Linked DNA regions of Diceros bicornis minor. The protein of the gene in region 3 purifies or fractionates together with the protein of the main gene of each other region. This does not show direct contact. Links are inferred from orthologs where the notes say so. Each region holds a gene or a part of one and is shown on either strand. Other genes may lie near its edges.

Region 1 (7,104 bases), on a different chromosome or scaffold from region 3:
ATAAACCATAAAACACCATCCAGGTCACTGATGTGAGGATCAGAGGGCTTGTGGCATTTGTGACAAACCCAATGATTCTTTCACTACAACAGAGCTCTTATAAATGAATGATTCTGGGCCACTATTCTCAAGGAAAGAAAACGTCAACTTCATTTTACCTGTCTTGCCAATGATTTCAACTCAGCTTCCCAGAATAACTGCTCTTGGCTCCAGTCATTAATTACCTCTGAAACACCTCCAGCAGCTGGGTATAGATGTCTGAGAGCTGTGAATGGTTAACACGTCTGGGGTTCTATGATGTATATTTGTTTTCAAGTGACTCCCTTGTCCCGTTAGATTTTTAAGGTTCAGAAAAATAGATTTCACAAGTACTACCTCCTCTGTAAATCTCATGGTGCCAGGTCCAATGACCGCTGTCCAATAAGCAGGATTCAGAAGGACACTGATGGGGACAGACAGCAGCAGAGCACACATGCACCATTCCTCAGGCTTCAAGCAAGACCAAAGCCACTAGCAGAAACATGGTCCAGCCTCGAGTCCACCTCATCCTGTCTTGTCCACCTTCTGGAAAATGGCATAGTACCATGCCCAAATCACATGCCCATACACAGCTAGTCTCCTAACCACAGCTAGTTCACTTTACAGAGACAGGACCGCGATAATAATCTAACAGCTTACAGTTATTGAGTGCTTACTATGTGTTAGGCACTGTTTAAGTGATTTGCATGCAATGTCTCACTTCATGCTCAAAACAAGCCTTATAAGGGAGATAAAATATTAATTTCATGTTACAGTTAAGGAAACCAAGGTCATACACCTGGTGAGCGCTGGAGCCAGGGCTTGAACTCTGAGAGTTTAATTCCAGAACCTGTGCTCTTAGCTAAGGAAAATTTATAGCAATGTAGCAATTACCAGAATTGTTTATTTACACAGAGGAGGGTAGGCAACAATCATCAATTGTCCTAAACCACACATAACCCACAAACAATTTTGCAATTTCAACTCCTACTCACAGGTTCAGTGTCCCAAGCACTGTGGGGAGTCCAGGAAAAAAGAAACAAATCTGAAACAGTTCCAGCTCCTAAGGAGCTCACAGCCCAAAGGTGGAAACCTGCTATTAAAATACAATGTGGTAAGGACCCATGCACCCCAAATGCGGCTGAAGTCTAGGGTGACAAAAGGGTGTGTTTGTGAAGGGGAGGGAGAGGAGAAGACCATTCTTCACCCAGCGCTGTTTCTTCAACAGACCAGGATGACACGGGATTGCTGCTTGTAAAGAAACTTTCCTTTATGGTTTTGTCCTGTTGCTCAAATACATAACACAATAAATTTTATTTCTCCCATTTTATTTACAAATTAAGTCGTAACCAAGTCACACTATCAACACTCTGAGAATTTCACACAAGATGTTTTCCCTAATTATCCTTAGAGACAGCAAAGTTTGGGAATGCTAAATGTTCATGGATTTGTGGTGTTATTTCTTTGAACTGTAGAATAAAAGTTTCCTCCCACAAATCAAAGCCCCAACGATATCACATTGATTTAATTTAACTCTAAAAACTCTAATTAGTGGTTACATAAAATGACTAATTACGTCTCCCTGAATTCAGACAGTTTCTGCCATCTCACTTAAATAGCCTAGGAGCTGTGTAATCAACCCACCCACTGGATGGAGAATGCTAATTAGCATTGTTGATTGGTGACACAAGTTATAATATTTTCCAGCAACCCTATAAAATTTATAAACATATCAGTGAAAATGCCAGATTCTTTACAGCTTACTAGCTTTTGGAATAAGTGTCCAAAACACATGCATTTTCCAACCACAGCCCCGCCAAAAGGGTTTAACAAAATGCACGTGCCAGCCACACAATCATCATAATAATGCGCTCTAACATCTCTTAACGAGCAGCTAAACGAGCTCACAACACCTTCGCGGCGTGGGCATTATACCTGGTTTGAAGATGTGAAAACTGAGCAACAGATTTCTCGGCTCCAAGTCTCACTAGCTCATCTCCGGGCGGCCAGGCCGCGGCTCCGCCCCGCTCCTGCCTCCAGCACCGACACGTTTAAATTTTTATAAAGCTTCACACTTCTCCGGGCGCGCTGCTTGGGGCAGTTCAAAGACTGCAGGAGAAAATGAGGTCCTGCCCGTGGCGAAGGCTGCCCCGGCGCGGTGAGATTTCTCCAAGTGGCACACTCCGCGCAGACTTGCCGGTCGCCTCTGCTCCACCCCGGCGTTTTTGAAAGTAAACTCCTACCTGCCTGTTGCGCTCTCCGATGCGCAACCGGACTCGCCCCCCCCAGGCCTCCGGGGCCGGCTCAATTTTGTCAGCGGGGTGTGAACACAGGCCAGCTCTGTGCCGGCTTCTGGCCCAGGGCCGGGCGGCCCCCGGGCGCTGGCGGTTACGGGGTCGAGCTGCGCGGCGGGGTGGGAACCACGGTGCGCGCCCGGCTCCTGGGGAGCGCAGGGCTGCCGGCCCCCGCTCGCACGGCCGCTCCAGCCGCCCGGTGCTCCAGGAACGCTCGGCCACTCCCTGCCGGCCGGAACGCGCACCCCGAGGGCGCACCCCAAAGTGCAGCCGGGAAGAAGGGGGAGTCCGAGGCGTGGGGGGAATGCCGGGACCCAGGAAGCGGTGTGCGGCGGGGAGCGGAGCGAGGGGCAGGAGGGGCGCACCTCGCGGGGATGGCAGAGGAGTGGGATCCCGGGAGCAGAACACGGGGTGCGGTCAGTAAGAGGGGAGGCGGCTCCGGGCCAGAGGCGGGAGGAGGCGGTGACCCCGCGTCTGGGGTGGGGGTGCGGGAGGAGGGCTCAGGAGCTCGCAGGGTCCGGGGTGGGGGCGTCTCCCTGCGGAAGGTCTGCGCGCTGCTCGTCGCGTCCGGCCTCCCGCGGGACTCACCTCCGCGCCGGCCGTGCAGGCTCCGCGGCCCGCGGTCTCGGCTCACGGCGGCCCCGGCTCTGCGGCCTGCGCTGGGCTCCGGTACAGGCAGAGCCCCGCCGCCGCCGCCACCGCCGCACTGCTGCTTTCCGCTTCCTGTCCCGGCGCCGCCCCGCAGCCCGAGCCCAGCCCTGCGAGCCCGGCGCGGCCGCGAGCCAAGAGCAGCGAGCGCTGCCGGCCCCGCCGAGGGCCCGGCCCACCTGCAGCGGAGGGCGGGGCCGGCCGGCCTCTCCCCACCCCGCAGCCACGCCACACCCGGGCACGCTCACGCGCGCACACAAACGCGCGTGCGTGCACACTCCTACACACACAGACCCCAGGGACTGACCACACCCACACCCACACACACACACACACTCACTCACATTCACTCACTCACTCACCCTCACATCATAAACACATGGCCAGGGAGTGACACCCACCCAACAGCCCAACGTACTTGCCCCCTCAAACTTACAGCCATACACACATACTCACAATCATGCACAAAATCCAAGCCCGTTTGCCCTCACGGGAGCCCCAACAAACATATTCACACGGCCCGGAGGCTAACCGCCCCACACACACTCGTATACACACATTCCAAGAACTGACCCACAAATATCCATATACAACCACCTCAACCCATATACACACTCCCACTTAAACTCACATGCAGCCCAGGAAATGACCAGGCAAATAACCATACACACCCGGGCCCCCATAGCCAACCCTCTCCCTCCTCCTCTCCTAACAGAGCAGTCGCTGCCCCCCAACCCCAGTCTCATAGAAACTACTGGAAGAGCACATCTCTGAAGGCAGGCAGCCCAGGTTCCAATCCTGATTCAACCAGGTCTGCTTCCATCTCTGAGTCTGTTTCCCTGTCTGAAAAGTGGGAGAGGATGATAATGCCAACCTTGCAGGATTGTGGTGAGGATTATGGAAAGTAGCTTGTGCCCAGTAGGCACTGAACAGCTGTCAACTATGTATATGAATATTTGCATTCTTCTTACTTCAATATCTTGTGTGGATAGGGTTAGGGATCCACGTGGAGAGTGTGGAATCTGGCTGGGACCTGAAGCTGCTTACATGACCCAGTTCTCGAGCCGAGATGGTGTATAATGAAGTACTGTGTACTGTGGGCAGTTGGGGTGGGGAAACACACCCACCCTGAACTAGCCTAGTTCAGGGAGCTTGAGTCCCCAAAGCCCTCACTCCCAGCCCCACCTCTTCCCCACCCCCTCCAGTCCCATTCTCTCTCCCATATATTGCACTTCTTCAGAGGACATATGTTCAATGCAGTCAATCTTGACCCCTCCCCAGCCCGCCACCAGGCTTCACTGCTCACTCTGGCAGCCCAGGACATCTGCCTCTCTCCCTCACAAACCTCTCCCCTGTCTCCAGAGGGCTAGGGCTGACCCAGGCAGCCATCTTCTTAAGGGTAAAGCCGGTTGTCTATCCACCTGAATCAGTGCTCAGATACAGGAATGTAGAGCTTTATAAAAATGTGTCTCTTTCATCTTTAAAATGTAAACCCTTCAAAGTTACAATGGGCCAGGGATTTCCAATTCTAGCTCTGCTGCTCCTGAATAGCCGCCGTGTGATATACAGATCCTCCGTGCATGTTCGTGGAAAGTGATTCTAATTCACTATAGTTTAAGTAAGCTACCTTGCCATGTGGTGCTTTTGTGGCAAAGAGGGGTAGTGCACAATAAACTCTATTTTAAGATAATAAATTCACCTTTAAATGCCATCTACTGCTGGTTTTGATCCAACAATCTCAAGTATTCAAGTTTAAAAGGTAAGAGGTGGACAACTTCTCAGGACCTGAGTGATGGTCTGTATGGCCTGGAGGCCTGCCCTGGCTCCCACTGTCTGTCACAAAGTGAGTCAGCATTGCTCCAGGTTTCAGCAGGCTTATACAGCTCTTGCCTCAAGTCCAGTTCTCCAGCTTAACCTTACTCAGTAATAAAGGTGATAAGTGGGCTCCATCTGCCACTCCTCTGTCTCACGTAACCATTTGTTCCAAACTCAGCTAGGGAAGTAGGATACTATGTATTGGGTGCTCTTAGGACTCCAGCATGACTGTATGTTCCACAAATTCATGAATATATTTCTCCCTTTCTGCCCATTCTCACAGCTTTCCCAAACCTTAGAATGCTACCCACTAAAATTCTTCCTGTCTACCAAGATCCAACTCAAATGCCATCTCTTACACAAAGCCTTCCCCGGTTCTCCCAACCAGAAAATATTCTCTTCACCTATTTGAATTCCCATGGCTCTCTGGATTTTTATACTTACCTTCTTACCTCGTATTGGTTATTTGCTTCTCACTCTTCAATAATGTATAAATACCATGTCTTATTCATCTTTTTTCTATTGCAGATCTTTCCACCTAGTAGTTACTTTAAAAAATACTTAGCAAATGAATGAATGACTATAAAATATCACTTGCCCTTGGGAAGTTAATAAGCTCACCAGGGAACAATCTAGTTGAAAAGTTATGACATAGGCACATAAAGATAGTTGGCAACAAAAGAGAATATGTAAAATGCTAAATGCATTAAAGGCAGACTTTTTAAGAAGTCACTTATCCAGCCTCAAGAATTCTGAATACACCTGAAAAACAGTTAAGTGAGAAAGGCCTCTGATCAACAAAATAGATTGTACAAAATCCATGCTTTAAATTGGATAGACTTTATAAATAGCAGAATCTCTCGTATACTCGGCAACTATTTACACATAGTTTACAAACATTTCTAAGAAGTTTCATCATCTGAGTCCTAAGCCCACTATAGATTAGAAACATATTAAAAGAGAAGGAGGTGATGTCAGGAAACCCCAGGGACTGCAAAGGGGTCATTGTGAAGATTGTTTAATCACAAAACTCATGCTCTTTCTTGTTACCAGTTACTCCCCCTGGCACACTGCCTCATTACAGAATAATAGTGTTCATAGTGATGACCTTGAGTTATGAAGGTTAGATGGATATTCTATATACAGTACTTTAGGAAGACATGAAAATAATATTAGAAAAATTTCCATCCAAAATGTTTGAAATGTTAGCGCTGATTCTTTAAAGGGCCATTTTCTGTAAAATCTATGTGTAGGATCTGTTTATATGTTGATAACACCAGGGATGAGGTGCTAGGCTGTAGATTATTAGTGCCCAAGGAGAGTGACACGGGCCTGGCTGGTCAGGGTCACCTTGTCCTCACGTTGAGGAAAGAAAGGAGTGGGATAGGCATAGGTGGAGGACAGTGGCTGGAACAGTGGCTGGCTTATCTCAAGTGCTTAATAAATATGAGTGGAATAGGGGGTAAACGGTGTTTCTGTTTGGAGTATGGGCAGGGGTGTGGAGAGAGCGGTGTCCGGGATATAGTCAAGGGCAGTGAGCAGAGCAGTTAGGCTCGAGACAAGGACTCATGCTGAAACGTAGAGGATTCAAAACTGAGTGGCTAGGATTAGAAGATGGAGAACTTTGAACCCAACACTAGTGTTTGAACTTTCTTAAACAGGCTGGCAACATGGTATTCATTCATCTTTTCATTCATTCAAAAACTTAGACTTAGTACCTACTGCGAGCCAGGCAATGTAACTACTAAGGATACAAAGCTAGATAAAGTAACATTGATCAGTGAGTCAACAATTTATTCAACAAATATTTATTGAGCAGTTGCTATGTGCCAGTTACTAGTCTAGGCTCTGAAGATACATGAAAACAGACAAAAGCTTCTGCCCTCATTGAGTTTAAATTCTAGTGGGGAGACATGGAGCAACATGTGTAGTGTGTCAGATGGTGACAGGTACTAAGGAGAAAACAAAGCAAGATAGGGGATGGGGGACTGTGGTGTGTCCCTCTCTCTGGGGAGGCTCCGGCTGCTTGAACAAAGCCTTGCTATCGAATATGAGAATGCTGTGACTGAGACCAGAGGCGGGACGGGACGCTGTGGGGGCACAGGGAAAGAAGGGCCAGCTCAGCCTGCAGAAGCACACGGCTTCACCTGGCCGTGACCCTGGAGCAGAATTTGAAGGATAGGTATTTGGCAGATAAAGAGGAAAGAAACCTTCTGGGCAAAGGCACAGAAGTGCGACAGAGGATGTCCAGGAGGCCTTATCTGACGGCGGTGTGCAGTGCTGGGGGAGAGTGGGGGTGGGGATTCCGCAGGAGGCTGTGTGGAGCTGC
Region 2 (7,082 bases), on a different chromosome or scaffold from region 3:
CCAATCACAAAGACAGAAAGATGTTGCGCAAAGGAAAGCTGATGAGCACAAATGGCCAAACTAGATAGAAGTGTGGAGATAAAGCACTGGATCATTCAACCCTACCCTTTACTTACACTGGCATAAGCTTTGCAGGCATGCTGTCTTTCCACACAGACTGCAATAATTTAAAGAGAGAGAAACACAGAGAGTATACACATTTTCATAAACATCTTCATATAAATCTTCATATATGCCACAACCAATTATCATAGTATACCCTCACATCTTGTAAATGGGCATAAGCTGGTGCATTTCAAGGTCTGACATACACTGCTGACATATATCTGCTATTGGTTCCCACCCACCATTCTGGAGTCAGAACCCACACCCTCATATCTTCTAGCCATGTAACGGTGCCTTCCGTGTCAAATTCTCCACGTGCAGTTGCTACGACACTGGCGAAATGAAATGTTATCTACAAAATCAATTCCAGAGGATATAACAGATAGATTAATCAAGCAGCACAATATTCTCTAACTTAAAGAAAAAAAAAAAGGATTATACATCTGTGACATCTGTGTTTAAAAGTACCACCCACTCCACAGTTTTTGTAGCGTATGCTCCTCACTTTCCCACTGTAGAAACTAGATAAACGTTTGCAAATTCACTTAACGCTGAGTGGAAATTCTGAAATGCTTGTTTAAGATTGTGGAAAAGTTCAACAAAATCCCCCTGCCCTTTCCCAGGCCGTCTCCTAGTAAGACAGTTGTTAATCCTGTCCCCAGTTCACTGCCTGCCTCAAATGTGACTCCCCAGAGTAAAAAAGTTACCTGGATTTTATCTTATCAAGTTCTCTCTTCACAAACTTTGTATTGAGGAATGTATTTTCAGAAGTAGCACTCCAATTATGAAAAAGAATAAATCTAGTTTCCTGGCTTTGTGACCAAGTGCTGCTAATATTCATGCCTAATGGCTCCTCAGACATTATTCCGACATCTTAGTTTTTAAATTTAACATCGAGAAAATTTTCTTTCCCAGTTATGCATTATTAAGAATTCATTTATTCAACATATGTCTTTCTAGAACCTATTTTGCACCAGATACTAGTTGCAGGGGATTTAGTAATGAACTAAACAGACAAAAGCCCTGTCCCCATGCAAATGCTAGTGCGGTGAGAGGCGACATATATGAAAATGAAGTAAAGTATGTAGTGGGTTAGATATTGCTAAGTGCCCAGGAGAAAAACATGGTGGTGGGAGGGTGGGGATAAGACTGTTGGTGCTGATCTCTTTTTATTTTTCCTGTACACCATCAATCTGAAAAGTCATCTTCAAATGTTACTGTTTCTTGCTTCATAATAGCGACATAATCTTCATATATTTGCAAAATCTTCTTCCATGGACATTTATTAATTCAATTACTGCCAATTTTTACCAGTCTAGTCTTCGATGTGTTGTCAGTTGCTGTTCATCAAGTTAAACTACCTTTTGCAGAATAAATTTCTCTTTTTTTAAACAAATTGAGGTGGGGGGTAAGGAGGAAGACACTAACATTTACTAAGTATCTATTATTGAGCCAGACATAGTGGCAGGCACTTCATATTCATTATCTCAGTTGATCTGCATATGACCCCATGAGGTAGATAACATTCTCATTTTACAGAGGAAGAAACAGATACTCCAGTAACTTGCTTCAGGTCACACAGTAAGTGGCACAGCTAAATCTGAACTTTGCTGCCTATACTTTTTGGTCTTATCTCGAAAATTCTCTACTCTTGGGATTCTTTTTTTTTAACTCCTCTTTTTTTTTGGGTGCTCAATCTTTATATTCCTTGGATCATTTTCTCATTTGTCTGATATAGCAGAAATTACTTTCCCCAAATGCCTAAAAACAGCCTTACTTCCTTTTCTCTATAACCTTAAAATTAAATTAGACTATGTTCAATTGAATTGTATAAAACCTTTATGAACTACATTGACCACAAATTTTAAAATTAAAATGACCACTGAATACCAAGATCACTGGCATCTTTTTTCTTTAGTCACCATCCCTTTACTTGACTATTTCTTTTGTCATAGCACCTTACGCCTAAGTCGCAAGTCCAGAGAGTGCCTAGGCAGCCACTGGGATTCCATATGACATATTTAAATACTAATAAAAGGCAATACAATCTGAGAGATAATCAACTATGTAAACCTGACCTGGATAACGTCCAGACATTCTTCTCTAAAGGCGTTCTTTTCCTGTTACCCCAATAACAGTTTCCAGGTCGGAGGAACTAAGACACATGCAGATAAAATATAGTCCTTGATAATGCAATTATAATCTCGCAATTTATTCCCCTTATTATAATCTCGCAACTTATTCCCCTTACTGTGGGAGCGGCTCGTCCTTTACTAGGTACCCAAGAGCAGACGGGTTTTGAGAAATAACAGAAAACGCATACTGTGATGCTAAATTTTTCGCTGCCTGCAAGAAAGCCTGGCTTGCAATCCCGAGCCCGAACTCGCTGCAATGGAGCTGAAGGGACAGACACCGGCGGGAGACGGTGGGTGCCCGGGCGCCCGTCAGCCGGCGGCTCCGGCCCCTCCCTCCCGCGGCGCGCCGCTCTGCGTGTCGCCGGGCACCGCCGAGGGTCGCAGCGGAAAACGACCGTGCGAGCGCGGGACGCCGAGGCGCTCGGCCCAGGGGGCTCCGAAATGGCTGCTGCGCCCGGCGCTCTCCGCGCCCGTCGGGCCCGGCCGCCGCCGGCCCGCCCCGGCCCCGGCCCCGGCCCCAACCCGCGCCCGGTCCGGGCTGCGGCCCCGCGCCCGCCGCGCCCTCACCACAGCTTCCTCTTGAGCGGCAGGAGGCTGCCGCGGTTGGAGGGGGTGACGCCGATGGCCATCTGCAGCACCGTCAGGTATTTCTGGTACTTCATCTTGTCCCCGCTCCGCTCGCGGGCAGGGCCCCGCCGCCGCCGCCGCCGGCGCCGCAGACACAGCCCCTCCAAGCGCCGCATAGATCAGCTCTGGGCCATCCGCCGCCACAGCTCCCGCCGCTCCCGCTCCCGAAGCCGCCGCCACCGCGGCCGTGCGTGGCCAGGACCCCCGCTCCCGCCGCCGCCGTCGCCGTGCGTGCCCGGCCGCTCCCGCCGCCGCCGTGCGTGGCCCGCCGCTCCCGCCGCCGCCTCCCGCACCGCCCCCCTCCGACCCCGCAAGCCGCGGGCGGCGCGGGCCTCACAGGCGGCCGGGTTGGCGGTGTGCCGGCTCCGGGAGCGGCGGGGTGAGGCCGGGGCGCCGCCCCCGCCCACCGGCGCCGCCCAGGCCCGGCGCCCCCGCGTGCCTCAGTTTCCTCGGCGGCTGACGGGAACTCATCTCCGACCGTTTCTGCTCCAAAGGGATCCTAACGACAAGCTTCCAGAGAGGAAAAAATTAATTTTTTAATTTATAATTACCACTTAATAGCTTGTAACCATCAGTTCTAGCCTGAAGTGTTTGCAGACTTGGTGTATATATAAAATGCATGTATATGTATATACGTACACATATACAATGCGTATATATGTGTATGTGTGTATATATATACATATATGCAGTCCTCGCTTGCATGCCAGGCAGTTCAGGATTGTGGAAATGACCTGAACCACGCGAAACTATCTTCGTAATCATTGGGAAAAATGGAGATTGTTCCATGACCTTTAAAAATTTTGTCAAAACATTCCAAACTCTCTTCACTGATGGAGATAATGTATAGAGAAATAAAAAAAAAAAATAGTAAAACTAATCACTTAATAGTGTGACTTAGAACATTACAAAGATTGAGAATTAAAGTGTTTTATTTCTCTGTAAGAAAAACTTATTAAGAGTAACTTGCACAGCTCTTGTCTTCTGCTAGTAGAATTGTTATATACTGAGAGAGCGTCTTTTCTATGCCTTGGCAGAGCATCATATTTGGGTCACTTTCAGCATTTTATCCTCTGTACTTTCAATGTCATGAAATATATCAGAGAGTTCCTTTAATGTGACGTCCTCTGGGACATCCTCATCCTTTTTGTCACAACCACTTTCCTCATTCAAGTTCACATTTACTAAGTTCTTCTGGCTGCGTGTCTAGAGTCTCTGGAAAGGCAGCAGAGTCAACATTCCCACAGTTGCCTATTTTTTCTGTAACTCCATTTACATTCCATTCGAATTTTACTTCATTTCCATCTTTATTGTTTTTTCTTTGCTGCACTTTCATCTTGCTGGCTAATTCCCTCTTTCAATTACCCATTTTTATGCAATGTTGTACAGGTTTATCACTGGGAGAAGAGGAGGCAACACAACTGCACAGTTGGCTGCATAAACTGAATAACAGGTGCAGCAGTGACCAATGACTAACAGACTTTGAAAGAACTACTGTGATTGGTCACTGATCATGATGCACATGTTATTGTGTTGTGCTTTGTGGACTAAAGAGCTAGCAGCGAAGTTTATACTACGTGCGTTTGCGCTATATGCATTTTCTTACAGTTAATATGCCATGATAGCTGAAATTTGAACCATACTGTTGAGCAACTGGTATTATTTAACTGAGCCATAGTAGCTAACATCAGGCATATCTGAACTTGCAGAGCAAGGACTGCCTGTTTGTTTGTGTGTGTGTGTGTATGTGTGTGTATAGGATGTATATATGAAGAGTACAGATAACAAGTGCCTGTGCATCCACCAGGCAGAATTATCAAACATTAACACCCTCCCTCCACAGTGCATCCCTCTTGTACCTCTATTTAAACACTGCATTTTCAAATTAATTAGCACGTAAGATTAGAACAAAACAGTCTCCTAGTTTGGGCTCCCAACATAATTTCACAGTCACTTTGGTAGGAAAGCAGGTCTAAATCTATTTCACTTTCATTTATCCATAAGTTTTAGCTCTCACATAAAATGAGGAATTAGAAGATCTTTGACACTTCAAATATATATCCACACATGGGAGAAGACCTTGGAGCAGTACTTTTAAAAAATATCAGGGCCTGTACTTATGTATGTACCGTTTCTAATGTACGCTTGGCCTTTTGCACCACCTTGTCATATTACTGGTAAGATATTTGATGAAAATACTGCACTGTACTCAAGGATTTTGACAACTGGAGGCTGAAGAGATCAATTCAGGATAATGAGAGATAAAAATAAACTGGTAGAAGCACTTGCAGAATGGCAGATAATCTGTTTCTCCATAAAAGGTGAGCAGTGGCTATAATTTGTCAAAACCAACCTTTCCAGAACTCCAGAAATTAACCAAAGGCTTGCAACAATACAAAGAATGTTTGTACAAAAAAATTACTGAATCTTAGAACGGTGAGCTTTATAGTATTTTGACTTGCCCAGTTCCCATCCCCTTCTCTCCAACTCTGCCGTAGCCTTGTAAACCAACAGCCTCGTAACTAAAGTAGTATTGAAAACCAGTTGACTAGCAGCCGCTAATGGGCTTAGAGCTCCTCAAAAGCCCTATCCTCAGATAATTGTCATTATTTGACCTGTTGGCAGCACCCTGAAAAGCTCCATTTACAGTGCTTGTCTTTATTTGACCTGGCTGGCTCAGGATCTCACTCTGTGCAAACAGCCCTATCCCTAGGGCATTTGTCAGAAACAATCAGTAACAATTGTTTAGCATCACAAGCTGCTTGAGGCAGTGAAACCCATTGGGGCTAACAAGCGGCTAACCAGAAAAATTAAAAGGAAAAGTGGAGAATGGGGCTCCGTATGATGCCTTGAAAAACTTCGACATTCTTGGGACTCCAGAATGCCATGTGCACATGTAGGACTGTGTACATGCTCAGGAAACACCTGAGAAGGCCCTAATCTCTCGCTTCTGGGTGACCTTGAGGTTCAGTGCAAGCAGAAAGTGAAGGTTAAGGAAGAGTTGTAAACTACCTATCAGAATGTTGAAGGCATCCCCCAACACACACAGCCTCTCAGCAAAGGCTGGGAGACTTAATGGTTCCAAACATTTAAGGAAATCTCTGTCCAATAATTAGCTGACCACTAAACTACCTAAGCAGAGACTTCAGTGGCCACACATGACAAAAATACAGACTTTACCGAATTAGTCCAGCAAAGTCACTAAATGAACAAAACAACCACAACAAGAAACACCACCACCAACAAACCTTGGAGAGTGGGGCAAGGATATGATTTCTAGGGTTGCCACGTTATATTATTCGAAATGTCCAGATTCCAACAAAAAATTACAGGACATGCAAAGCAACAGAAAAATATGGCCAATATATAGGGGAAAAAAAGCAGTTAATAGAAACTGCCCTTGAGGAAGCCCAGGCATTGGATTTATTGGACAAAGACTTTAAATTGGCTATTATGAATATCTTCACCAAAGAAAACCATGTCTGAAGAACTAAAGGAAAGTATGAGAACAATGTCTCACCAAATAGATAATATAAATAAACAGACAGAAATTTTAAAAAATAATGAAACTCTGGAGTTGAAAAGTACAATGACTGAAATAAAAAATTTACTAGAAGGGCTCAACAACATATTTGAAATGGCAGAAGTAAGAGTCAGTGAACTTGAAAATAAGTCAATTGAGATTATCCAGTCTGAGGAACAGAAAGCAAACAGTGAAGAAAAATGAACAGAGCCTCAGAGACCTATGAGAAACCATTAAGCATACCAACATATGATAAAGTCCCAGAAGGAAAGAAGAGAGAGAAAGGGACACAGAATATTTGAAGACATAATGACTGAAAAATTCTCAAATTTTATGAAAAATATTAATCTTCACATTTAAGGAGCTCAAAAAACTCCAAGTAGGATACACTGAAGGTAGTCCACACCTAGACACACAGTAATCAAACTGTTGAGAGACGAAGACAATGAGAGAATTCTGAAAGGAGCCAGAGAAAAGAAACTCATCACATACAAGGAATCCTCAATAAGATTAACCTGTGACTTATCATCAGCAATCGTGGAGATCAGAAGGCAGAGGGAAGACATTTAAAGGGCTGAAAGAAAGACTATTAACCAAGAATTCTATATCCAACAACACTATCCTTCAAAAATGAAGGAGAAATTAAGGCATTCTCACATAAACAAAAACTGAGAAATCATCACTAGCATACA
Region 3 (7,166 bases):
TGCCCCAGGAAAGAAGATATCTGATCTGCAAGAGAAAAATGTTGGAGTCACCAGGAAATGGAAATGGTGGCAGTACTCGTGAGATGCCTCAGCCTCCTCAGCAGGAAAGGGCCCAAGGAGATCCTGCTGTGGAAGCATTCATGAAAAGAGCTGAAGTTCAAAATTTTTGAAGGACTAAAATCATGGCTTGCTGATGACTGAGGCTTATGTATCAGGCAAAAACAGCTCTTTTATCTTCCTGCCAAGAAGAATGTGGATTCCATTGTAGAGGATTATGCAAATTACCAGAAATCTTGAGGAAACACAGATAGTTAGGTAATAATAATGCTGTTACTGAAGTTGTGTCAGGAATAAAAGAATAATAGAATGTAATGTTGGGCACTCAGCTACTCTACAAATTTGAAAGATCCCAGTACACTGAAATCCTTGAAGATTGCCCTGAGGCACCCTGTCCCAGGTGTATGGAGCTCTGCATCTAGTGAGAATTGGAGCAATGTTGGCCCATATACCTCTAGATGAGAAGAGTCTTATTTTATTTTTGACTGAACAATCTTCACAATTTTCCTGGCAAAGAATTCTGCAACTTTATTTAGTGCCAGTAATTATGAAGTGGCTCATCCTAAGAGGAGGTATAATTTAAAGTAAATTAAATGCACAGATCTTAAGAGACAGTTCATTGAATTTGGCAATTGCGTGCACCCGTGTAACCACCAGCACAATCAAGAAGAGAACATTTTCTTCACCCCCAAAATTTCCTTGTGTTCCTTTCCAGTCAATTCAGCAATCTGCCAACCCCCTGTCCCCAACAGTGGCAGCCTCTATAATGATTTTTATTCATCATACCTTATTTTCACTGTTCTGAACTTCACGTAAATGGTCATACAGTATGTGCTCTTGTATATCTGGCTTCTTTTGTTTAACATAAAATTTTTGAAGTTCATTTACATTATTGCATGTGCAAAGGTTCTTTTTTATTTCTGAGTAGTATGACAGTGTATGAATATACCACAATTAATTTTTTTCATTCTCCTATTGATACACGTTTGGATTATTTCCAGTTTTGGGATATTGTGAATAAAGCTACCATGAACATTCTTGTACAAGTCTTTTTGTGGACAGATGTTTTAATTTCCCTTGGGCAAATGCCTAGGAGTGAAATTATTGGGCATTTAACATTCAGAGAAACTACCAAACAGTTTTTTTAAGTGGATATACCAATTTATATTCCTATTGTTAATATATGAGGGTTCCAATGGCTCCCTATTGTCACCAACATTTAGTATCGTTGATCTTTTTAAGTTTAGCCATTCCAGTGCATGTGCAGAGTTTTTTCATTGTGAATACAATTTGCATTCATCTGATGATGAATGACATTGAGCAGCTTTTCATATATTTATTGGCTATTGGGTATATGTATTTCAGATATTTTTTACCAGTCTATAGCTTGCCTTTTATTTTGTTTTTACTGCTTTTTGATGGACAAAAGCTTGTAATCTTGTTGAAGTTCATTTCATCAATTTTTTTTGTTTTATGATTTTATTTATTTATTTTTTTCCCCCAAAGCCCCAGTAGATAGTTGTATGTCATAGCTGCACATCCTTCTAGTTGCTGTGTGTGGGATGCAGCCTCAGCATGGCCGGAGAAGCGGTGTGTAGGTGCATGCCCAGGATCTGAACCCGGGCCGCCAGCAGCAGAGCGTGCGCACTTAACCGCTAAGCCACGGGGCCGGCCCCTCATCAATTTTTTTAAGGTTAGTGTTCTTTGTGTCCTAAAAAATCTTTGCCTGCCTCAAAGTCACAGAGATAATCTTCTATGATTTCTTTTAGAAGCTTTATAGTTTCACTTTTCTGTTTAATATTAAGATCTATTTTGAATTAATTTTTGTTTATGGTATAAGTTAGGGATCAAGGTTAATTTTTTTCACATTGTGATCCAGTTGTTCAACACTGTTTGTTGAAAAGACTTTCCTTTCTCCATTGAATTGCATTGATACCAATGCTGTGTTTCTAAAATTTAAAATTCAGTTCCTTTTTCTTTTTCGTGAGGAAGATTAGCCCTGAGCTAACATATGTTGCCAATCCTCCTCTTTTTTGTGTGTGTGAGGAGATCAGCCCTGTGCTAACATCTGCCAATCCTCTTTTTTTTTTTTTTTTGCTAAGGAAGACTAGCCCTGGGCTAACATCCGTGCCCATCTTCCTCCACTTTATATGGGACGCTGCCACAGCATGGCTTGCCAAGCAGTGCGTTGGTACGTGCCCAGGATCTGAACCGGCGGACCCTGGGCCGCCACAGCGGAGCACGCAGACTTAACCACTTGCACCACCGGGCCAGCCCCACCAATCCTCCTCTTTTTGCAGAGGAAGATTGACCCTGGGCTAACATCCGTGCCCATCTTCCTCTACTTTATATGTGGGACACCTGCCACAGTGTGGCTTGATAAGCGGTGTGCATAAGTCCAAGCCCAGGATCTGAACCCACAAACCCTGGGCCGCCACAGCGGAGCGCACGCACTTAACCGCTGCACCACCAGGCTGGCCCAAAAAGTCAGTTCCTCAATTGCACTAGCCACATTTCAAGAACTAAAGAGCTACAGGTGACTTCTGGCTACCGTATCAGTCAGTGCAGATATAAAATATTTGCAACATCGCAGGAAGTTCTGTGACAGCACTGCTCTAGACCTTAGGGCACAGTGTCTACTAAATATTTTGAATTCTGTGAAGGGTTAGCTAAACCAAATAACAAAGGGCAGATATAAGAAAGTTAAAAATCAATCACTGAACTTATATGAGGTACTTAGAGTAGTCAAATTCAAAGAAACACAAAGTAGAATGGGGGTTACCAGGAGTTTTGGGGTGGGGAAAGGAGAGTTATTGTGAATGGGTACAAAGTTTCAGTTTTGCAAGATGAAAAGAGTTCTGGAGATGGATGGTGGTGATGGTTGCAAAAAAATGTGAATGTATTTAACGCCCAAGAAATGTACACTTTAAAATCGTTAAAATGGTAAATATTATGTTACATATATTGTACTAATACAAAAAAATTTTTTTAACTGCTTTTTCCCCAGCTGGTGTTTAGTGCAGGTGAGAAAGCAATTGGTATTACTAGTGACTTAATTCTCTCTGGTTTATCTGAGGGATACCCAACAGAGGTACAGGGGAGATATTGGAGCCCAGAGCCCCACTTAGTTTAATGTCTCTGTCTTAGGGTATTTCCAGTAGACCCTCTTCAGCTAACAGGAAAAGAGAGAAAAACAATTTGACTGAGTTATTCTCCTGTTATGAGTTATCCACCTATTCGTGTAACACTAAAGATTTCGTTCATTGGGTTATGGGAACCACTGCAAACTAGTAGCAGGAGCAGTTCGGTTTTTAAATAAAAGTTCTCTGTTTTTTTAGTTAATCTCTAAGCACTTGATTTTGACGATTTAACTAACAGACAATGTTGATCAATATATATAAAAAATACTTTTATAAAGCATAGACTGTACTATATTAATTCAGGGAACATCAGGGCATATATGAATACCAAACTCTGAGGATCTTGTGCTTTTGTACAAGATCCTATTTGTTTAAATATCTTAATTTAAAACTCGCGTTAAAACTCCTTAATAAAAACATTTCAGAATCTTCAACTGATTTGTGGAAAGGAAGTGAAAGAAGCAGTATTAGACGACTAGAAAACATTCATATTAAGAGCTTATGAAAATAATCTTGCTCCTCAGGAGATGTGTTGATTTGGTGAGATGCCAATCCATCTATATTTAGAAGCCTGATTTGCATATTTGAGGACATCTATAAATGTTATTCACTAGGACCTCATCTCTGTCAAAGACAGCCTAATGAATCTATGGATACAGTTTAGTATTGAAAATATTGCAGTACCCTTCAGAACCTTTCAAAAGAAGCAACATTAAAAGCTGGAAGTTTTCTTTGCAGAAATTGCTCATGGTTTCAAATTAGGAGGTGCCTCATTTTTCAAAAACTCTAAAAGAAAAGCTAACAGTGATTGAATATATTCTAGGCACAGTGTAAGCATTTAATTAATTATTGTTCTAATCAACAAATATTTGTTGAAGCATCCTATGTCCTACTCAATTTATCTCATTCCATCCATCACACAATCCTATGAATACTATTATCCCCACTTTACAAAGAGGGGAAAGCTCTCAGAGAGAAGTCACACAATTAACAAATACTAAAACGAGGCTTCTACTCTGGACTTCAAAGACAATGCTCTAAACCATCCAATCCAGGAGAATTAACGCTTTTTGATTCTGTTAGCTAAAGCAGTCCACCCCAAGAAGCCTCGCGATATTACTCAAACTACTACTCCCGACATGCAAAGCGGCTTCTGTTGGTCAGCCTATGCCGGTGAGTCTGGAGGGCCCCAGCATGCCTCGAGGCGCGAAAGGCAACCTGGGAGCCGTAGTTCTCTTGGACGCGTACCGGTATTGCCAGCGCGGCAGTGGCGGCTCTCTCTGTTCCGGCTAGCGGATCTTGTGAGGGCGAGCTGAGGCGGAGAAAGGGCGCGGAACTGGAAAAGGGTGAGTCAGGCACTGTCTACGCGATAAAGAGAGGCAGCAGCGTGGCGTAGGGCTGAGTTGAGGAAGTGCGGCCCCTGCGACAGTCTGTTCAGGGAGACCGCGATCTTAGCGCCGGCGAGAGGAGGGTGAGGAGGAGCCAGAGCCCGGTCCTTGCACCCGTCCTCGCCCTCGGCACCGCGCCGCCATCTCCACCATGCAGTCCCGGGAAGAAGCTCCGCGTTCTCGCCGCCTCGCCAGTCCCCGCGGGGGGAGGCGGCCCAAGAGGATTTCCAAGCCCTCGGTTTCGGCTTTTTTCACGGGCCCGGAGGAGCTGAAGGACACGGCCCATTCTGCAGCCCTGCTGGCACAGCTCAAGTCTTTCTACGACGCGCGGCTGCTATGCGATGTGACCATCGAGGTGGTGACACCTGGCAGCGGGCCTGGCACAGGCCGCCTATTTTCCTGCAACCGTAATGTGCTGGCTGCCGCGTGTCCCTACTTCAAGAGCATGTTCACCGGCGGCATGTACGAGAGCCAGCAGGCGAGCGTGACTATGCACGATGTGGATGCCGAGTCCTTCGAGGTCTTAGTTGACTACTGCTACACGGGTCGCGTGTCTCTAAGCGAGGCCAACGTGCAGCGCCTCTACGCGGCCTCCGACATGCTACAGCTGGAATATGTGCGAGAAGCCTGTGCCTCCTTCCTAGCCCGCCGCCTAGACCTGGCCAACTGCACCGCTATCCTCAAGTTTGCGGACGCCTTCGACCATCACAAACTGCGATCGCAGGCCCAGTCCTTTATAGCTCACAACTTCAAGCAGCTCAGCCGGATGAGTTCAGTTCGGGAGGAGACTCTGGCAGATCTGACCTTGGCCCAGCTGGTGGCTGTCCTGCGCTTGGATAGTCTAGACATCGAAAGTGAGCGGACAGTGTGTCATGTGGCCATGCAGTGGTTGGAGGCGGCTCCCAAGGAGCGTGGGCCTAGCGCAGCAGAAGTCTTCAAGTGTGTCCGCTGGACACAATTCACTGATGAAGATCAGGATTACCTGGAAGGGCTGTTGACCAAGCCCATTGTGAAGAAGCACTGTCCGGACCTTATTGAAGGGGCCCTGCAGATGCGATGCAGTGACATGTTGTACAAGTCTGTGGTGCCTAAGTCAGAGGACAGCAGCAGCTCTGTTGTATCCGCAGCAGAAAATCCACCCCAGAGGCTGGGCATGTGTGCCAAGGAGATGGTGATCTTCTTTGGACATCCCAGAGATCCCTTTCTCTGCTATGACCCGTACTCGGGGGACATTTACACAATGCCATCACCATTGACCAGCTTGGCTCACACTAAGACTGTCACCTCCTCAGCAGTCTGTGTCTCTCCAGACCATGACATCTATCTAGCTGCCCAGCCCAGGAAGGACCTCTGGGTATATAAACCAGCCCAGAATAGTTGGCAGCAACTTGCAGACCGCTTACTCTGCCGTGAGGGCATGGATGTGGCATACCTCAATGGCTACATTTACATTTTGGGTGGGCGAGACCCTGTTACCGGAGTTAAATTGAAGGAAGTGGAATGCTACAGTGTTCAGAGGAACCAGTGGGCGCTGGTGGCTCCTGTACCCCATTCCTTCTATTCCTTTGAACTAATAGTGGTTCAGAACTATCTTTATGCTGTGAACAGTAAACGCATGCTCTGCTATGATCCTAGCCACAATATGTGGCTGAACTGTGCTTCTCTTAAACGAAGTGACTTTCAGGAAGCCTGTGTCTTCAATGATGAGATCTATTGTATCTGTGACATCCCAGTCATGAAGGTCTATAACCCAGCCAGGGGAGAATGGAGGCGGATTAGTAATATTCCCTTGGACTCAGAGACCCATAACTACCAGATTGTCAATCATGGCCAAAAGTTGCTCCTCATCACTTCTACCACCCCACAGTGGAAAAAAAACCGGGTGACTGTGTATGAATATGATACTAGGGAAGACCAGTGGATTAATATAGGTACTATGTTAGGTCTATTGCAATTTGACTCTGGCTTTATTTGCCTCTGTGCTCGGGTTTATCCTTCCTGCCTTGAACCTGGTCAGAGTTTCATCACTGAGGAAGATGATGCACGGAGTGAATCTAGTACTGAATGGGACTTAGACGGATTCAGTGAGCTGGACTCTGAGTCAGGAAGTTCAAGTTCTTTTTCTGATGATGAAGTCTGGGTACAGGTAGCACCTCAGCGAAATGCACAGGATCAGCAGGGTTCTTTGTAAATATTTTGAAACACCGAGATGTTTCTACTGCTATGGAATGTATCTTAAAAAGATATCCTCTCCTTTTTCTGGAAAAAAAAAAAAGTGATTAGGACCACAGATTTGGTTTAGAAAGGGTAATGTTTGAATTACTAATGTAATGTTACAAAATTTAAGCAGTCCACATAAGAATTTACTGTGCTAAAAGTTGAGATTGAAATATGCAAAAAGTGAGCTATATCGTTGATTAGAAAGCTTGGTGGTTTTTTCATTGTTCAGTTATTCATTGCACCAGTGGATTGTTTTGGTTAGTTACAGTAGTTTATATTTTGATTATCTAATTTAGTCTTCTGTTAACTTTTTAATTCTATTAGTGCCACAAAGAATTTAACTTCTTAATTTTTATAATAG
Region 4 (7,066 bases), on a different chromosome or scaffold from region 3:
CATAGTTGCACATCCTTCTAGTTGCTGTATGTGGGACGCGGCCTCAGCATGGCCGGAGAAGTGGTGCGTCGGTGCGCGCCCGGGATCCGAACCCGGGCCGCCAGCAGCGGAGCGCGCGCACTTAACCGCTAAGCCACAGGGCAGGCCCCTCATTCCTTGCTTTAATTTAACCCAGCCTTGGGAGGGAAAGGCAAGATCTTATGAATATTTGTATGATAAATTCTGTAGGATAGCAATTGTAAACCAGATCATTTGTACACTTGTTACACCCATATATTTAGGCAACTTCTTAATATGTAAAAACACAATGTCTAAGCCTAGGTTAAATGGTGGTAATGACTCTACGCCAGTGAATAAGTCCATAGATACTGTTGCTTCTGCAGAAGCCTTATGTACAACCCCTGGTTACATTTTCATATGTGAAGGCTCTGACAATAGCCTTTATGCTTGGGCATCTCATTGCCTTAACAGCTGGAGAGTAGGAGATCAGTGTGCCCTTGCCATATTCACCACCCTGTTCTCCCTGCATAACCAATCAGAAGCCTCTCATTGGTCAGTTCCACTAAATTCCTATAATTACCTCAAATAAGAACTTCCAGGAAGTGTGCATGATTCTGGGTTTGCCTCTGTGGGGAGAGCTTTCTTTCTGTGGGTCAGAATAAGTGCTACTGCACAAATGATCAGGATTCTCTCCCTAACACTAGAAGAGTTGGCTGGTTCCACAGCCAAAGCAGTTGCAACCCAACAATAGTTGCTTAACTCATTGGCCAGGGAGTTTGAGATACCTACTTGCTGAGCAGGGAGGTGTCTGTGCAGTAACAAACACCTCCTGTTGCACATGGATAAATAACTCTGGGGAAATAGAGAGCCAATTACATAGAATTAGAGAGCAAGCACATTGGCTACAACAAATTTCACCCAATAACCCACTGTCTTTTGATTTTATTCAGCCCGTTACAAACTGGGCTTGTTGTATTGTTCTTTTTTTTTTTTTTTTTTTGAGGAAGACCAGCCCTGAGCTAACATCTATTGCCAATCCTCCTCCTTTTTTTCCCTTTGTCTCCCCAAAGCCCCAGTAGATAGTTGTATGTCATAGTTGCACATCCTTCTAGTTGCTGTATGTGGGACGTGGCCTCAGCATGGCCGGACAAGTGGTGCGTCGGTGCGCGCCCAGGATCCGAACCCAGGCTGCCAGTAGCGGAGGGCGCGCACTTAACCGCTAAGCCACGGGGCCGGCCCCTGTTGTATTGTTCTTAATCCTGCTTTGTGTACTTGTTGCTAAATGCTGTACGTATTGCCTGTCGAACCTCTGTAAACATGATGTACCTAATAAGTTGATGTTAGCTCAACAATTTGAAACGGTTTCTGAGGCTTACAACCTCAGACAACTATAGACTTTGAATAAGAGATGCTTGAGAGTTCTCCCTCCTGGCCTTCCTTGTTGCTCAAATGTGGCCTAAATGGTTTCCAACCACTGTGCACGTTCCCTGCACCGTGGGACATGACTACCAGGAAAGGTCCTTCCTGGCACCGAGGGACAAAACCACTATGTGCAGAGAACCTGACTCTTGATTAGCAATGCTTGTGGAAGAAGATCTTGATCAAAATGGGAAAATGTGAAAATTAAATAAAGGGAAACCTCATTTAAAATGGAGTTGGGAGGCCAGAAGGGGGAGCTCCCATGCAGTACCACTTGAGGTCAGTTACGGGAAAGATAGTCAATCATAGACCCCAGCAGAAGTCATCAACAGGAAAGAATCATTAATTACAGGAAAAAAATGTACATCGCATCCCAAAGAGAAATCAACTACCCCAGGAACTCAGCCAATGAGAAACCATCACCACTCTGAACTCTTGCTTTTCTCCAATGGATTTTCCTTCAAAACAACTCCTCCCAATTTCCTTTTTCCCTATAAAATAACGTTCCTCTCCTTTGATTATTGGATTTGCTTATGGTCTCCCATAGCATGCATATTCCCAATTGCAATTTTTTAGCTATTCCTGAATAAACTCGTTTTGCTGGAAAAATAACTGACTTTTATTTTTAAGGTTGACAATTCTTATCTGCATTTAAATGTCTACGAGCTTTATAAAAAGGCCTTTCTCTATACATATATCTCCTTGTTACCTTACAACTGCTAGGTCCCTGTAACAAACTTCTTGAAAAAATTGTTTACACTCACATCTCTACTTTTTCATCTTTCACTCACTCATTCAATAAATATTTATTGAGAGCCAACTATGTACCATATACTGTTCTAGGTGCTGATAATTCAGCAATGAATTAAACAAAATCCTTGCTCTTTTAAATCTTACATTCTTGTGAGGGTAGACATGTCCAGAAAAATTGTCCGGAACTTATAAATGGGCAGAAGAGGATTACTGGGTGCTCTTTCATTGTAGTGCTGGGGTTTACATTTGATTGACTTGATGTTGATTAGGCTATCTTACAACTTTGTAGGGGTAGAGGTTAACTTGTAGAAAACTGAGGGCAATGCAAATAATTCTCGTCTGAGAGCAACGCAAACAACTCCTACGCATAGTAACGCAAATGAATTTTGTCCAGCAAAGATGGAATTGATTTTCATCTGGTAGAAGAGATAATCCCAAACATCACAGTTTATTACTTAATAAAATATTAATGTTTTTGCAACTATTAGCAAATTTATTTTAGCATTCCTTTGGCTGATAATCTAAATCTCTAAAACTCAAATTCTCATTGAACAAGTCTTACCATTTACTGGGTCCCTCATTATCTAGGATAATGGGTGAGTAGTTTATTATGATGAATAAAGTCTTTGGCATGTGTTCATTATATATTTGTATAAGAGTTATGTTTTTAACCTTTTGAAAATTACAATTTAGCAGACTATAAGAAAATAAATACATATCAGGTGGTAATAATTTATAAGAATAAATGTGGGGTAAGAGGACAGCTGTTAATGGTGGTGTAGGGCCCAGTCAATCAATCCTGTAATTCTTTTTTTCTTTTCTCCTCCTGCTTTTTTTAAAAATTATTATTATTATTATTTTGTGAGGAAGATCAGCCCTTAGCTAACATCCATGCCAATTCTCCTCTTTTTTTTAGCTGAAGACCACTGGCCCCGACCTAACATCTATTGCCAATCCCCCTCCTTTTTCTTTTTCCCCCTTTTTCTCCCCAAAGCCCCAGTAGATAGTTGTATGTCATAACTGCACATCCTTCTAGTTGCTGTATGTGGAACACCACCTCAGCATGGCCTGAGAAGCAGTGCATCGGGTGTGCGCCAGGGGTTCCGAACCTGGGCCGCCAGTAGCAGAGCGTGGACACTTAATTGGCTAAGCCACGGGGCCGGCTCGTGTAATTCTCTCTTAACTGTAAGTGGAATCCATCCTCTTCTCTCCATCTTACTGCCACCACACTAATCCAGAACATCATCTTCTCTCATCTGACCTCCCTGCCTGCCTTACCCCTAACTACTCTGATCATCTGCTGTCAGATGTTCATTTTTAAAAACACTTATCTGATCATGTTCCTCCTCTCCACCGGCTCCTTGGTGGATTCAAGTTTTGTGGGGCCTAAAGCTTACTCAAATTCGGGAGGCCTTCTTTAAGAAAAACAATACAAAATTAGGTACAGGCCCTTGAAGGGGGCAGTGCCAATGACAGGTCCTGAAACTTAAGCTTCATTAGCTTCACTATAAATCCGCCTCTGCCTACAAGTCTAGCCTGTTTTTTTCCTCTTAGGATCTTTTCTTCGTGCAACTTCTGCCTAGAAGGCCCTTACCACCCCTTTTTGCCTAGTTAACTCTTTCAGTATTCAAGTGCCAGTTCCCAGTCCTCTCTGACCCCCCCAACTGGGTCAGGGACCTTTACGGAGTCTCTCTCAATGCTCCAAACATCCAGGCGGAGCCACCATTCTGTGCGAATGGTTGCTCTTTCCCAGCGCTCTCAAAGATCGCTGGCGGGGCGAGGTTTGCACCCGGAATGTAAAGATGGGCGGAGCCCCGGGAGAGAGTCAGCGGTAATTCCCTCCCCTTTACGTCCAGAGCGGCGCGCACCACCTCTCCGGAACCCGCGAGCCTCCGGTTGCGGTTCCGGTCGGAATTACCCGGCAACGCACGCAGACATGGCTGCGCTGGTAGTGAGAGGTGTTCGGGACGTGCTGAAGCGGGCCGACTTCGCGACGGTCCCGCGGAGACATCGACATAAGAAGAAATGGGTAAGGCCCAGGAGGGAACAGTGACAGCGGCCCCTTGCCACCGCCTCTCGGGAAACCTCCCCAGCCCTTCCACTGCTCGCCCGGCTCAGTTAGGGTCGCTCCTCTCTCCGGTTGGAACGCCTTCGACCTCTTGTCCCGCCCCTCAGGGAGCGTCACTAGGCTCCTCCCTCACATCTGTTACGTCGTCGCCTCTGTCCGCCCTTTTATTTCGTCACGAGTCTTCGGCTCTCCCTCTTGATAAGTGTGCAGCCTCCTGACTCCGCCCCTCTGTTACGTCATCGCCTCCGCCGTCATTCTTTCAGTTATGTCACCGCCTCTTGTTCCCCTGCTCGCGGTTCCGTTCCGCTTGGCTCCCACTACCTCTTCCCCTTCCCTCCCTCCCCCTCCCCCTCCCCCTCCCTCCCCTTCTTTCCTACCCTGACCTCTTCTCCTCCGCCCCCTATGACCTCCTCTCCTCCCTTCCTCCGAGAACTTCGAGCCCGGCCGCCCTCACCCCTCGGAAAATGTCACAGCGACTTCCCGGTCCTCCCTGGGTCTCCTTCGCCCTCCAGGAAAGGAGTCAACTCCCTCACCCTCGAGCTGCCTCTGGCGCCCAGGAAAGGTTACAGTGACCACCCTGCCGGTAGTCCCGGCCTTTCCCCAAACTCAGGCAAAAGGTGCAGCGACTCCCCTCACCCCCTGGGCTCTCCCCGCTGCTCCAGACACCCTTTCTCTGGCCTCACCTGTAGCCCTGGAATTTCTTCCGTAACCGGCCCGCCCCCCTCTCTACCCCGACCGATTCCCTCCCCGCCCCCACCGCCCCCCTCCCCACCCCCACCGCCGCCCCTGCGTCTGGGGACATGTTCTTTTGAACCTTGTTCTCCACTCCTCGGAAGGCCTTACTGCCCTGAGACTATCCTCTCGGGTTCGTCCCCCCCGAGCCCTTGTTTTGACCGGTTCAGCCTTCTGGGGTCACCCCCTCTCCGTCCCCGGAGCCCTTATTGCGGCTGGATCAGCTCCCCGAGAACACCGTGTCCCTGTCCCCGAAGCCCTTACATCGACCAGCACACTTACCTCTGTTACTGTGGTGGATACCCTTCAGCCCTGGTAACCAGCCCGGTGACCTCCCCTCCCCTTACTCATCGGCCCCTGGGAACCACCCCGGTGACTTCTCCTCCTGTCACTCATGTGCCGTTGGAAACTGGCCCCATGATTTCACCTCCTGTCACTCATCAGCACCCAGGAACCAGCCCCGGGACCTCCCGTCCGGTCACTCATGTCACCTTGGAAACTGGTCCCATAATTTCACCTGTTTTCACTCATGAGCCCCCTAGAACTGGTCCCGTGATTTCCTCTTCCATCACTCATGGATCCCAGGGAACTTGCCCCATGATTTCACCTCCTCTTACTCATAGGCCCTTGGGAACTGGCCTCATGATTTCACCTCCCCTTGCTCACCGGCCCATGGAAACTAGACCTATAGTTTCCCCACCCCTTTCTCACAGGGTTTTGCAAACTGGGCCCATGATCTCCCCTCCACTCTCTCCCTGGTCCTCAGGGAGAAGTTATAATGACCCTCCTCTTTCCCAAGCATCTTCCCCACCCACCGGCAGGTTTTACCATGGCCACCATAAGCCTCCAGACTCTTGTGAACCTAAACCACAGCTTGACCCACCCCGTGGGAAAAATTACTGTGGCTCCCCACTTTCTTCTCAGGCAGGCACATCTGGCTGTCCCAGCTCACCTCCAGAGGGCCCTTATCACTATTCCCATCTTCCCCCAGAGACCTGCATACCTGCCCCTGGGAGCCCTTGTTGTGCCATCCGCCTACCCCCTGGGAGTACTGGTTCTCCTTGCTTACCCCAGTCCCAGGCTTCCAGGAAGCCTTGCTTTGAGTCCTTGTTCTCCTGGGAGACTGGTGGGAGCTCTTACCTCTTCGTAACCCCAGTCGCTATGATTTCTGGTCCCCCTTGTCCCCAGGAACCACCTCTTCCCCTGTCCTCGCCTTGTCCTTATTCTGCCTTCTTTCCTTCACCCCTGAGCAACCAGTTTATATCTCCACCTCAGTCACCCCCCCGCAGAAGCTATAACGACCCTCCTCTGCCTACCCCAGCTTGCCCCCAAGTGAAGTCCCCCAAATCCTCAGAGTTAAGACAGCCACGTGCTCCCCACAGAAGTCGCTCCCTGGTCACCCCTCCCCGGCAAACTCCTCCTGACCAGCCCAGGCCCCCTAAGGCCAGCACCTCTCCTCCACCTCCCTCCGGCCCTTCTGGTCTCTCAGGTGCTTTTTGTACAGTGACATCCGTTACAACTTGCTCAAATTCTTGCCCTAAAGAACTTCCCCAAGGGACTACCTTACCTACTGTGGTCCCTAGAGTCCTCAAAACTGTTATCCCCACTTCCCTTCCCCTCCGCCTTCCTTATGATTCTGTCTCACCCAATAGTTATGCTCAGAGAAGCCCCCATGGACCCCTCATAAGATCCCCCTGCAGTACCCATGTATATTCTGTGGTTCCCTCCACCCCCGATCCCTGCCCACTCTCTGGTTCCCTCAATCAATCCACACGCCCCCCTCAGTGTCATAAGCAACCCATGGTGCCCCCCTGTGGCACCTATAGCACTCCCAGGGGCCCACCCCAACCCCATTGCCAGCCTGTGGCACCTCCTTGTTCTACCCACATCTATTCTTGTATCCCTTTGAGAACACCCTTTGACCCCCAAAGTTTACCTATTGCCCCCCGAGCCCGAGGCCGACCTGATGCTATGCCCTGTGGCCTGCATGTCTACTCTGTGGCTTCTCGAGGCTCCTGCAAAGAGTCCTCCCAGATTCCCTACAGCTGTCCTTTGCCTTCATCCAAGAGTTCCAGCTGTAGTTCAACTATTATT

What was found. The genes of interacting proteins can lie anywhere in the genome.
Region 1: the proteins of KBTBD7 (region 3) and VANGL1 purify together in Homo sapiens (co-immunoprecipitation; 4 studies listed by BioGRID and IntAct, with this or other methods). This does not show direct contact. The link is inferred for Diceros bicornis minor from reciprocal best matches to the Homo sapiens genes KBTBD7 and VANGL1.
Region 2: the proteins of KBTBD7 (region 3) and TJP1 purify together in Homo sapiens (co-immunoprecipitation; 3 studies listed by BioGRID and IntAct, counting the BioPlex papers as one, with this or other methods). This does not show direct contact. The link is inferred for Diceros bicornis minor from reciprocal best matches to the Homo sapiens genes KBTBD7 and TJP1.
Region 4: the proteins of KBTBD7 (region 3) and NSUN4 purify together in Homo sapiens (co-immunoprecipitation; 5 studies listed by BioGRID and IntAct, counting the BioPlex papers as one, with this or other methods). This does not show direct contact. The link is inferred for Diceros bicornis minor from reciprocal best matches to the Homo sapiens genes KBTBD7 and NSUN4.

The regions. Positions count from the first base shown.
Region 1 is NC_080743.1:48,187,285-48,194,388, reverse strand, and holds the start of VANGL1 (vang-like protein 1), read right to left. Parts: upstream 3,001-7,104; 5' UTR 2,901-3,000; intron 2,439-2,900; exon of another isoform or gene 1,954-2,438; intron 1-1,953.
Region 2 is NC_080744.1:79,819,354-79,826,435, forward strand, and holds the start of TJP1 (tight junction protein ZO-1), read right to left. Parts: upstream 3,001-7,082; 5' UTR 2,984-3,000; coding exon 2,808-2,983; intron 1-2,807. UniProt on the Homo sapiens protein: TJP1, TJP2, and TJP3 are closely related scaffolding proteins that link tight junction (TJ) transmembrane proteins such as claudins, junctional adhesion molecules, and occludin to the actin cytoskeleton.
Region 3 is NC_080748.1:35,094,990-35,102,155, forward strand, and holds the start of KBTBD7 (kelch repeat and BTB domain-containing protein 7), read left to right. Parts: upstream 1-4,141; 5' UTR 4,142-4,736; coding exon 4,737-6,776; 3' UTR 6,777-7,166. UniProt on the Homo sapiens protein: As part of the CUL3(KBTBD6/7) E3 ubiquitin ligase complex functions as a substrate adapter for the RAC1 guanine exchange factor (GEF) TIAM1, mediating its 'Lys-48' ubiquitination and proteasomal degradation.
Region 4 is NC_080752.1:9,208,545-9,215,610, forward strand, and holds the start of NSUN4 (5-methylcytosine rRNA methyltransferase NSUN4), read left to right. Parts: upstream 1-4,066; 5' UTR 4,067-4,108; coding exon 4,109-4,201; intron 4,202-7,066. UniProt on the Homo sapiens protein: Mitochondrial RNA cytosine C(5)-methyltransferase that methylates cytosine to 5-methylcytosine (m5C) in various RNAs, such as rRNAs, mRNAs and some long non-coding RNAs (lncRNAs).